Linked DNA regions of Arabidopsis thaliana. The protein of the gene in region 2 interacts with the protein of the main gene of each other region in a pairwise test. Each region holds a gene or a part of one and is shown on either strand. Other genes may lie near its edges.

Evidence for each region. Proteins that work in one complex are often made in the same cells at the same time.
Region 1: the proteins of AT5G38990 (region 2) and AT2G32380 interact in a protein complementation assay, tested with the Arabidopsis thaliana proteins (one large-scale study listed by BioGRID).

What each region holds. Positions count from the first base shown.
Region 1 is NC_003071.7:13,745,847-13,750,062, reverse strand, and holds AT2G32380 (Transmembrane protein 97, Putative), read left to right. Parts: upstream 1-2,252; 5' UTR 2,253-2,332; coding exon 2,333-2,656; intron 2,657-3,088; coding exon 3,089-3,271; 3' UTR 3,272-3,497; downstream 3,498-4,216. Other genes in the region: GLR3.5 (glutamate receptor 3.5), read left to right, coding at 1-11, 94-371, 481-512, 633-1,042, 1,119-1,595.
Region 2 is NC_003076.8:15,606,676-15,612,576, forward strand, and holds AT5G38990 (Malectin/receptor-like protein kinase family protein), read left to right. Parts: upstream 1-2,009; 5' UTR 2,010-2,148; coding exon 2,149-4,791; 3' UTR 4,792-4,989; downstream 4,990-5,901. Other genes in the region: AT5G38980 (uncharacterized protein), read left to right, coding at 152-430; AT5G39000 (Malectin/receptor-like protein kinase family protein), read left to right, coding at 5,185-5,901.

The DNA of each region.
Region 1 (4,216 bases), on a different chromosome or scaffold from region 2:
TTGCTGCAAATGTGAGTCCTACTTCTTCTTCTATTTTACTCAATCAATTACACGAAACAGTATACTTATGTTTTGTTCTATTTATGTCTCTAGATTTTCGATGTAGCTGTTGGGGATGTTACCATCATTACAAACAGAACCAAGTTTGTAGATTTCACGCAGCCATTTATAGAATCAGGGCTTGTGGTGGTAGCTCCAGTGAAGGGGGCCAAGTCTAGTCCTTGGTCCTTCTTGAAGCCATTCACTATAGAGATGTGGGCTGTGACCGGTGCCCTTTTTCTCTTTGTTGGAGCCGTCATCTGGATTCTTGAACATCGATTTAACGAAGAATTCCGCGGACCTCCTAGGCGTCAAATCATTACAGTCTTCTGGTTAGTTCCATACAATTATTGAATCGACACAAAACTCATATGTATTAGTTTAAGCTCAAGTGCTAAAGCTTTGCTTTACCCCCTTCCTTTCTCGTCTTCAATATTGCAGGTTTAGCTTCTCAACAATGTTCTTCTCTCACAGTATGCACACAATTACATTTAAGATCATACGAAAACATCAAAGAGAAGAAACTCTCGGTTCTTTTCTTTTGTTACCAAGGTCGCAAGGTGTTTTATTCTTCTTCCTTTGTTGATCTTCAGGGGAGAATACGGTGAGCACGTTGGGAAGGTTTGTGCTACTCGTATGGTTATTTGTGGTTCTAATCATCAACTCAAGCTACACAGCCAGTCTCACTTCAATCCTCACCGTTCAACAGCTAACATCTCGGATAGAAGGAATGGACACTTTAATAGCAAGCAACGAACCCATTGGAGTCCAAGATGGTACCTTTGCGTGGAAATTTCTGGTCAATGAACTTAACATAGCTCCATCAAGAATCATTCCGCTTAAAGACGAAGAAGAATATCTCTCTGCTCTTCAACGTGGTCCCAGAGGCGGTGGCGTGGCAGCCATTGTCGACGAGCTTCCTTACATTAAAGCTCTCTTGTCAAACAGCAACTGCAAGTTTCGAACAGTTGGACAGGAATTCACTCGGACAGGCTGGGGATTTGTATGTGAAAACCAACTTCAATTTTTTAAGATCAGTCTCTGTTAAAACTTTGCTTAATGGATCTCGATTCTTGCAGGCGTTCCAGAGAGACTCTCCTCTAGCTGTGGACATGTCGACAGCGATCCTGCAACTGGCTGAAGAAGGAAAACTCGAGAAAATCCGCAAGAAATGGCTTACCTACGACCACGAATGTACAATGCAGATTTCAGATACAGAAAACTATCAAATATCGGTACAGAGTTTCTGGGGACTCTTCCTAATATGTGGCGTCGTTTGGTTCATTGCACTCACACTCTTCTGCTGGAAAGTTTTCTGGCAATACCAACGGTTAAGACCAGAAGAGAGTGATGAAGTACAGGCGAGGAGCGAGGAGGCTGGTTCTTCTAGAGGGAAAAGTTTGAGAGCAGTGAGTTTCAAGGATTTGATCAAAGTTGTTGATAAGAGAGAAGCAGAGATTAAGGAGATGCTTAAGGAGAAGAGCAGTAAGAAACTCAAAGATGGCCAAAGTTCAGCTGAGAATTCGCAGTCGAAAGATCACGAAACTCCACAGTGAGATATATAATAACGAGTTACACAATTTGTTTAATGACTGCAGATATAACATTACACTTAGAAAGGTACATAGATTTATTACATAGATAGAGATAAAAATGCAAAACAATTTCCCTACCATCTTGCAAGACGAACAAGTGAACTGAGTCATGGTTTCAATACCAAGTAGTCTCAACATTTTAAAAGATCTAAAACGTAACACTAAGAAATGTACCTTGCTAAAGAATTTGCTTAAGGCAATGCAAGGTTGTAACTTGCAAGTGTGTTTACGAATATGATTCCTCCAAGGCGTGAGAGATAAGGAATTTTGAAATGATCATGTCTTTAGACTCCCTGAAAAATAAAAAATAAAACATCTGCAAATTCAAGAGTCGAAAGTTATTAGAACCGTAGAGTTCACATTTTTCTAGACTATGTAGAGGATGTGAAACTTATTCAAATGTTTAGAACTTAAGATTTTGTAACAGATCATGGGCTCTCTTAATTAGTGTAGTCCTTCGGGTGACTATTTTTTCTGGATACTATATACATCCTCCGAGGAAGATTATGGGCCTAAGGCCCGGTAGTGTTCGAATTTACCACTGAATCAAACCGGAAAAATGGTAGCCGTTTAAACCGGTTCGCTTTAATTTAGATTTGGCCAATTATTAAGTAGCCGGCTCTTCGTTTCCGCGGTCAACGACAGATTAAAGCAGAGAGAAAAACAAAATCCATTGAAGAAGGAGAAGAAGAAAAAAAATGGGAGCATTTTGCAAGTTGATCGATGCGGTTCTCTTCTTATACTTTGCTCTCATGGCGGTAATTGCGCCGCTTATCGACGGTCAAACGAGTCTTCCCGGCGATATCTTCCCGGCGTTTATCGTCGATCTGAATCGCTGGTACATTGATGAATTTGGAGATTATCTAGTCAAAGAGAAGCCGCATTTCCTAGTCGGACTCGTCTGGCATGAGCTTTTGCTTCTTTGGCCGCTCTCAATCGTCAACGTCTACGCAATTCTCGCTGGGAAATCGTGGTTTGGTACCACCTCAATGGTGTACGGAGCTTCCGTCGTGACTTCTATGGTACATTTAGATCTTAATCTCGCTGTTTCTGATCAATTTGGATATAACGTGTTTGATTTAGAGTAAGATTTTGTTGATTTATGGATCTGAAATCTGAGATTAATGAAGATTATAGGAGAAATGATTATTGGTGATCAATGTTAAAGTCTGTGAAACTGGACCATTACAAAGTATGAACTAGGAGCAGACTAGTGAAATTTGTATAATGCTTGATTCAAGATTTCATTTGGTTCCCTAAAATCACAACATTGTATGTTGATGAGGGAGAGAGATTTTGAGTTTCTACTATGTTGAATGACTAGTTTCATGGTTATTAGAATTAGTAACGTTATCGAACTTATACTTATTGTTCTGCAATGTGAATCTTTCCGCATTCATTGCTAATATGCCTTGTGATGAAGAATCTGATATTGAGTATTCATTACTTATTAGGCTGCTATACTGGGAGAGATGATAGGATCAGGGAAGGCATCTGAGAAATTGTTGATGATGTATGTGCCATTCATGGGTGTTGGTATTCTAGCTCTTCTTCGTGGTCTTCTTTCTCAATCCAACAAAAGTGGTGGAGCTGTTGGCAAGAGACCTGCTATTTTGGCCAGGAGAAAGCGTGCTTGAGGTACACTTGATGATCAGCAAGTGTATCTTTTGACTCTGAGAATTTCTGCTATAGGTGGATTTGGCTTTTCAAACAGAAAATTTTGAACCTTTGTGATGTATTCTTCCTGTTTTTTTAGCAATATCATGTCATCTGTGTTCTTGTTTGAAATTAAATGAAGTTAAACTGAAAATATTTTACAGTTCACTTCACCAAAAGGTCTACATTGTTGGGTCTTGACAAATCACACGTTGTGATTCCCATTCCCAAAAGGTCTACATGTTCAGCACAGATTTCTTAGTCTTGTTGGGTTTGGTCAATCTAAAACCATAGGCAACGCGCAACAGCCAAAAACTCTTTAAGCTCTCTTGCAAAACAGAGAGTCTTGGGAAGAAAAGGTGTGAAGTTTTGATAAACCAAACTACAGAAATAGACAACAAAAACAATACAAAAGAAATATCCATACTCTAGAAGAAGATCTAAAGTCAATAGAAAGAAAACAAAAAACAAATTTGAAACTCAAATAGAGAAAAAGAGTACTCAATAACTTCATAAAGGTTTCCAAGTCCAACAATGACAAGGAAACAAACAGACTCAACTGAAACAACGAAAGGTTCCATGTCCAACAATGACAAGGAAACAAACAGACTCAACTGAAATAACAAAAGGTTTCCAAGTCCAACAATGACAAGGAAACCAAAGACTCGAATGAAATAACAAAAGGTTCCAAGTCCAACAATGACAAGGAAACCAAAGACTCAACTGAAATAGCAAAAGGTTCCAAGTCCAAACAATGACAAGGAAACAAAAGACTCAAATGAAAGGAAAAGATAGTTGTTTTTTCCATCTTGAATGGGTTTATTCCAGGGCTAGTCAAATCCCGAACCTCGTAAAAAACCAATCTCCTTGAGGTTCGTTCTTGACTCCTCCCCTTTTGAAGCTCTCCAATAGATTACCGAAATGGG
Region 2 (5,901 bases):
GCTAGGGGATCAATTATTTTGTATTAAATATGGACCAACCAAAGTAATCAGTCTACCCCTATATTTACGTTCCCTATCCATTATCGACAAAAAGCAATCACTCCTCAAGCAAATCACTCCTCACACCACAGAAAAACAAATAATTGAAGAAATGAAGTCAATAGTCTTCTTCTTCCTCCTCCTGCTCTTTGCCGTAGCAACCTCCGATAACGTGATAAATGGTTGGTATAATCTCACAGCCGTCCATGACGATGAAGTGATTTGGAGTTCTTTTGCGGCGCCAATGATGAAAGGTGGTTCGTCGTACATAACCTATCCGGTCTTGCGACCTCAGCAGGCATGTAATCCTTGTAGTGGAGCCGTTAAATATGCCAAGAAGAAGAATTGTCTTGTCTACACCAGATGCAAACGCTTTCCTAAGGGCATGTAACATACTCCTTATATATTCTCTATGTTTCAGTTTGTGTCGTTCTAAGCGTTTGGGAAATAACTTGCTTGTAACAAAATGTACGGTGTCTGTTTGTTGCCAAATTATTGAGTGTTGTTTCTTAATAATTTTCTTTAAAGTCAGCGAAGTAATTATTCTATAAAAACTAAGAGTTGCTCTATCTAGATATATATACAATTGTGGACTACTTCTTTAAAAATTAAATAAATTGGTAAAGTTTAAAGGTACGTCTCCCAAGCAGAAACTGAACTAAAGAATTCAGGACCAAACTCCTCTGAAGGGAAACACTCAAAAAACAAAAACAAAAAAAGATTCATTTGGTAAACATAATAATAGTGAAGAAAATATAATATGCCAAAAGTGGGTTTTGAACTCATGTCCTTATGGAAGTGCAAGTTTACGTATTAATGTATTATTCAAGTGTACTAATCGCAAGTAAGAAAGGACGAGAAGTTCAGAAGCTGTGTTCGGGATTTGTTGCTTTTCCTTCAGTGTCTCTAGTCTGTTTTAGTTCTCGGATTTTTATTGGTTTATGTCTAAGTGTTGTACGTAGTCTACTTATTCTAATTTTAGATCGTGTTGTTTTAGTGTTTCTTGCTAGTCTCCGAAGTTTCTTTATTCGGCTTTTTCTCCTGAGATACCAAAGTATATTTTAATATGTATATGTTGGCTTTGTTTTATTCGTGTTCTTCGGTCCTTTGATGTATGTTCTCAGCCTTTCGACAACAAATCCAATATATAACTTAGATGACAAAGAAAAGAAATAAAAAACCTCATATCCTTATATACTATCTGAAACTAGCCATTTAAACAACCTTCGCTATTTATTTTACTTAAGCGATGAATGGTAATTGATGTACAAAATCAGACAAGTAGTAAACTTAGGGGTTTTTAGTAAGCTTAGTTCGTATCGAGAATCAATGGACGTAACTTTGAGGTTTAACTCTCCTCCTTAACACTTTTTATGATATATCAAATCAAATATATTTTTTTACTAAGATTGGTGTTCTTCAATTAATGTTTCATCTCTTTTAGGTTCTTTGCACAATAAGTTTTTCATGAGCTATCTAAGTTCTTAGCTTATTTTCTATCTTAATAAAGCTTTCAATCATTGTTATAAACATAATTTTCCTCTTTTAAAATAAACGTATATGTAAATAAGTAATATATTCACAAATAAATATAAAACTTTAAAACTAAGATACTGAAAAATATTTTTGATAGTTTTATAATTAAAAATCAATCTCTTTTTATATCTCAATTGTAAAAAACACTGCAAAACAAACCTCAATATAAACAATATTAGTTATTTTCCACAACCAAATTTTACATTACAAATTTACAATTATATCTTCTAGGCTTGCTAAGTCTAACTAACTGAAGCTCATAGCATGTGGTTTGATTTTAACCTATTTACTGGAACCCTCTAAAATGAACCCAAAGCTCTAAAAGAGTCGAGCTTTTTTGGGTTTGAGTCTGAGGGTAGACTAAAACAACAAATGAGTCAATTTGCGTCATCTTTTAATTCTTGGACCTTAGGCAAATTGACCCCACGGAAGAAAAACTTCATCGATACCTTCTTGTTTTGCTTGACCTGAAAAGTCAATGGTTGACCAAGTGAGTCACTCACCACCCATTAGTCTCTTATCTTCTCAAAATTCTTCAATTCTCTTCTCGTTTTTTTTTTTTTATCAATTCCAATGATCTGTCACGTTTTAGTAATTTTCACTATTCTCGTTTCCGCCGTCGTCGACGCAACGGCGTCGTATGAGCCCACTGATGTCTTTCTCATCAATTGCGGCGATACCTCCAACAACATGGACTACAGTGGCCGGAACTGGACGACGGAGAATCCGAAATTTATGTCATCGAATGCAGTTGACGACGCGTCGTTCACTTCATCTGCGTCATACCAAGAATCAGGGATTCCTCAAGTGCCGTACTTGAAAGCTAGGATTTTCCGATATGATTTCACTTACAGTTTTCCAGTCTCTCCCGGCTGGAAATTCCTCCGGTTATACTTTTATCCGACCCGTTACGGATCCGATTTCGACGCCGTTAAATCCTTCTTCTCCGTCAACGTCAACCGTTTCACTCTCTTGCATAACTTCAGTGTAAAAGCTTCCATACCGGAGTCAAGTTCTCTAATCAAAGAGTTTATCGTTCCGGTTAACCAAACTCTTGATCTCACGTTCACGCCCTCTCCGAATTCATTAGCTTTCGTTAACGGAATCGAGATTATCTCCATGCCTGACCGGTTTTACTCAAAGGGAGGATTTGACGACGTTGTAAGAAACGTTGGTAGGGACGTTGACTTCGAGATAGACAACTCCACGGCTTTCGAGACCGTTTATCGGGTAAACGTAGGTGGAAAAGTGGTGGGCGACGTCGGAGATTCGGGAATGTTCCGGCGTTGGCTTTCCGATGAAGGTTTCTTACTCGGTATTAATTCGGGAGCCATTCCGAATATAACAGGTGTAAAGATCAACTACACGGATAAAACTCCCGCGTACGTTGCGCCGGAAGATGTATACACGACGTGTCGCCTGATGGGGAACAAAGACAGTCCTGAGCTAAACCTGAATTTCAACCTGACGTGGCTCTTTGAAGTCGATGCCGGGTTTGCCTATATAGTGAGGCTTCATTTCTGTGAGACGCAACCGGAAGTCAACAAAACGGGTGACCGCGTCTTCTCCATCTTCTTCGGATATCAACTGGCCATGCGTGAAATGGACGTGTTTCGGCTGAGTGGTGGTTTTCGGCTACCGATGTATCTAGATTTCAAGGTACTTGTCGACGCCGACGGAACTAGCCAGAGACCTAGTCTTCGAGTTGACTTGACACCTTACAAAGAGGACTATCCAACCTATTACGACGCTATTTTGAGTGGTGTAGAGATTCTCAAGCTGAGTAATTCTGATGGTAATCTTGCGGGGCTTAATCCAATTCCTCAACTAAGTCCACCACCACAATCTATAACGCCACTAAAAGGAAAAGGCAAGTCATCACATGTTTTGCCAATAATAATTGCAGTGGTTGGTTCTGCAGTTGCGCTAGCGTTTTTTGTTCTTGTTGTTGTCCTCGTTGTTATGAAGAGAAAGAAGAAGAGCAACGAGTCTAGTGTAGATACCACGAACAAGCCTTCTACGAACTCGTCATGGGGTCCTCTTCTGCACGGGACAGGCTCTACAAATACAAAATCTGCCTCATCTCTTCCATCAGATCTCTGCCGTCGATTCTCCATCTACGAAATCAAATCCGCCACAAATGATTTCGAGGAAAAACTAATCATAGGAGTAGGCGGGTTTGGTTCTGTCTACAAAGGACGAATAGACGGTGGAGCCACACTTGTTGCGGTTAAACGGCTGGAAATTACATCGAACCAAGGTGCTAAAGAGTTCGATACAGAGCTCGAGATGCTTTCAAAGCTTCGACATGTACACCTCGTCTCTCTAATCGGATATTGCGATGACGACAACGAGATGGTACTTGTCTATGAGTATATGCCACATGGTACACTTAAAGATCATCTTTTCAGGAGAGACAAGGCCTCTGATCCTCCATTGTCATGGAAACGAAGGCTAGAGATTTGCATTGGAGCAGCTCGTGGATTACAGTATCTTCATACTGGAGCCAAGTACACGATCATACATAGAGACATCAAAACCACAAACATACTTCTCGATGAGAACTTCGTCGCTAAAGTATCTGACTTTGGTTTATCAAGAGTTGGTCCTACTAGTGCTTCTCAAACGCATGTCTCCACCGTCGTTAAAGGAACGTTTGGTTACTTGGATCCCGAGTACTATCGCCGTCAAATCTTGACCGAAAAATCCGACGTGTACTCTTTTGGAGTTGTTCTGTTGGAGGTTTTGTGCTGTAGACCGATCAGAATGCAAAGTGTTCCACCGGAACAAGCAGATTTGATCCGATGGGTGAAGTCAAATTTCAATAAAAGAACCGTTGATCAGATCATTGACTCAGATTTAACCGCTGATATCACTTCGACCTCGATGGAGAAGTTTTGTGAGATAGCCATTAGATGTGTTCAAGACCGTGGTATGGAACGGCCACCGATGAACGACGTTGTTTGGGCGCTTGAGTTTGCTCTTCAGCTTCACGAGACTGCTAAGAAGAAGAATGACAACGTGGAGTCTCTGGATCTAATGCCAAGTGGTGAAGTTGGTACGACCACGGACGGAGAAGATGACTTGTTTAGTAGGACTACAGGACACGTTGGGAAATCGACCACGACCGATGACTCTGTTCTAGTTGTTGGTGATGAGAGGAGTGGTTCGAGTTGGGGAGTATTTTCGGAGATCAATGAACCTAAAGCACGGTAGATTTGATGGCTTGGTAAACAAGTATCACATTCTGGTTAGGGTTGATATATATTTGTGTATGTATAATTGTTGAATAAACACATTATTGTATTTAAATTACATTTTGATGATTATTTAGCAGCTTAAATTTAGATATTATATACTTGCTTTTATTTGACCAGAGATAAAGTTGGATTTTTTTTTGGCGGTTCGTAACGGTTGAGAATATGTTTGACATTTGTCTCAAAATGCAATCAAAAAAGTTTTGCAATATAAAATTTTGTTAAATACAGTCGTTAAAAAAAACAAAATTGTTAAATAAGTTCCTTCGCCATTTCACGTGGCTCTTAAGTCATAACCTAGTTATGAAAAATGAAAAACACCTAATCTTTTCTTTTTCAACTTCAATACCAAATGATCCGTCACGCTTTGTTAATATTCTCTATTCTCGTTTCCACCCCCATAGTAGGAGAAGGAGCAACGTCGACGTATGAACCCACCGATGTCTTTCTCTTCAACTGCGGCGACACTTCAAACAACGTCGACGTTAGTGGCCGAAACTGGACGGCGGAAAATCAGAAAATTCTATCGTCAAATTTAGTCAACGCTTCGTTCACTGCACAAGCGTCATACCAAGAATCAGGAGTTTCTCAGATTCCGTACATGACAGCTCGAATATTCCGATCTGAGTTCACCTACAGTTTTCCAGTCACTCCCGGTTCAAATTTTCTCCGGTTATACTTTTACCCGACCCGATACGGTTCCCAATTCAACGCCGTCAAATCCTTCTTCTCCGTCAAAGTCAACGGCTTCACTCTCTTGAACAACTTCAGCGCTGACTTAACGGTAAAAGCATCTAAACCGCAAACGGAGTTTATAATCAAAGAGTTTATTATTCCGGTTTACCAAACGTTGAATCTCACTTTCACGCCGTCTTTAGATTCCTTAGCTTTCGTTAACGGAATCGAGATTGTCTCCATACCTAACCGGTTTTACTCAAAGGGAGGATTTGACGACGTTATAACTAACGTTGGTAGTTCCGTTGACTTTCACATAGAAAATTCAACGGCTTTTGAGACAGTTTACCGGTTAAACGTAGGGGGAAAAACGGTTGGAGATTCGGGAATGTTC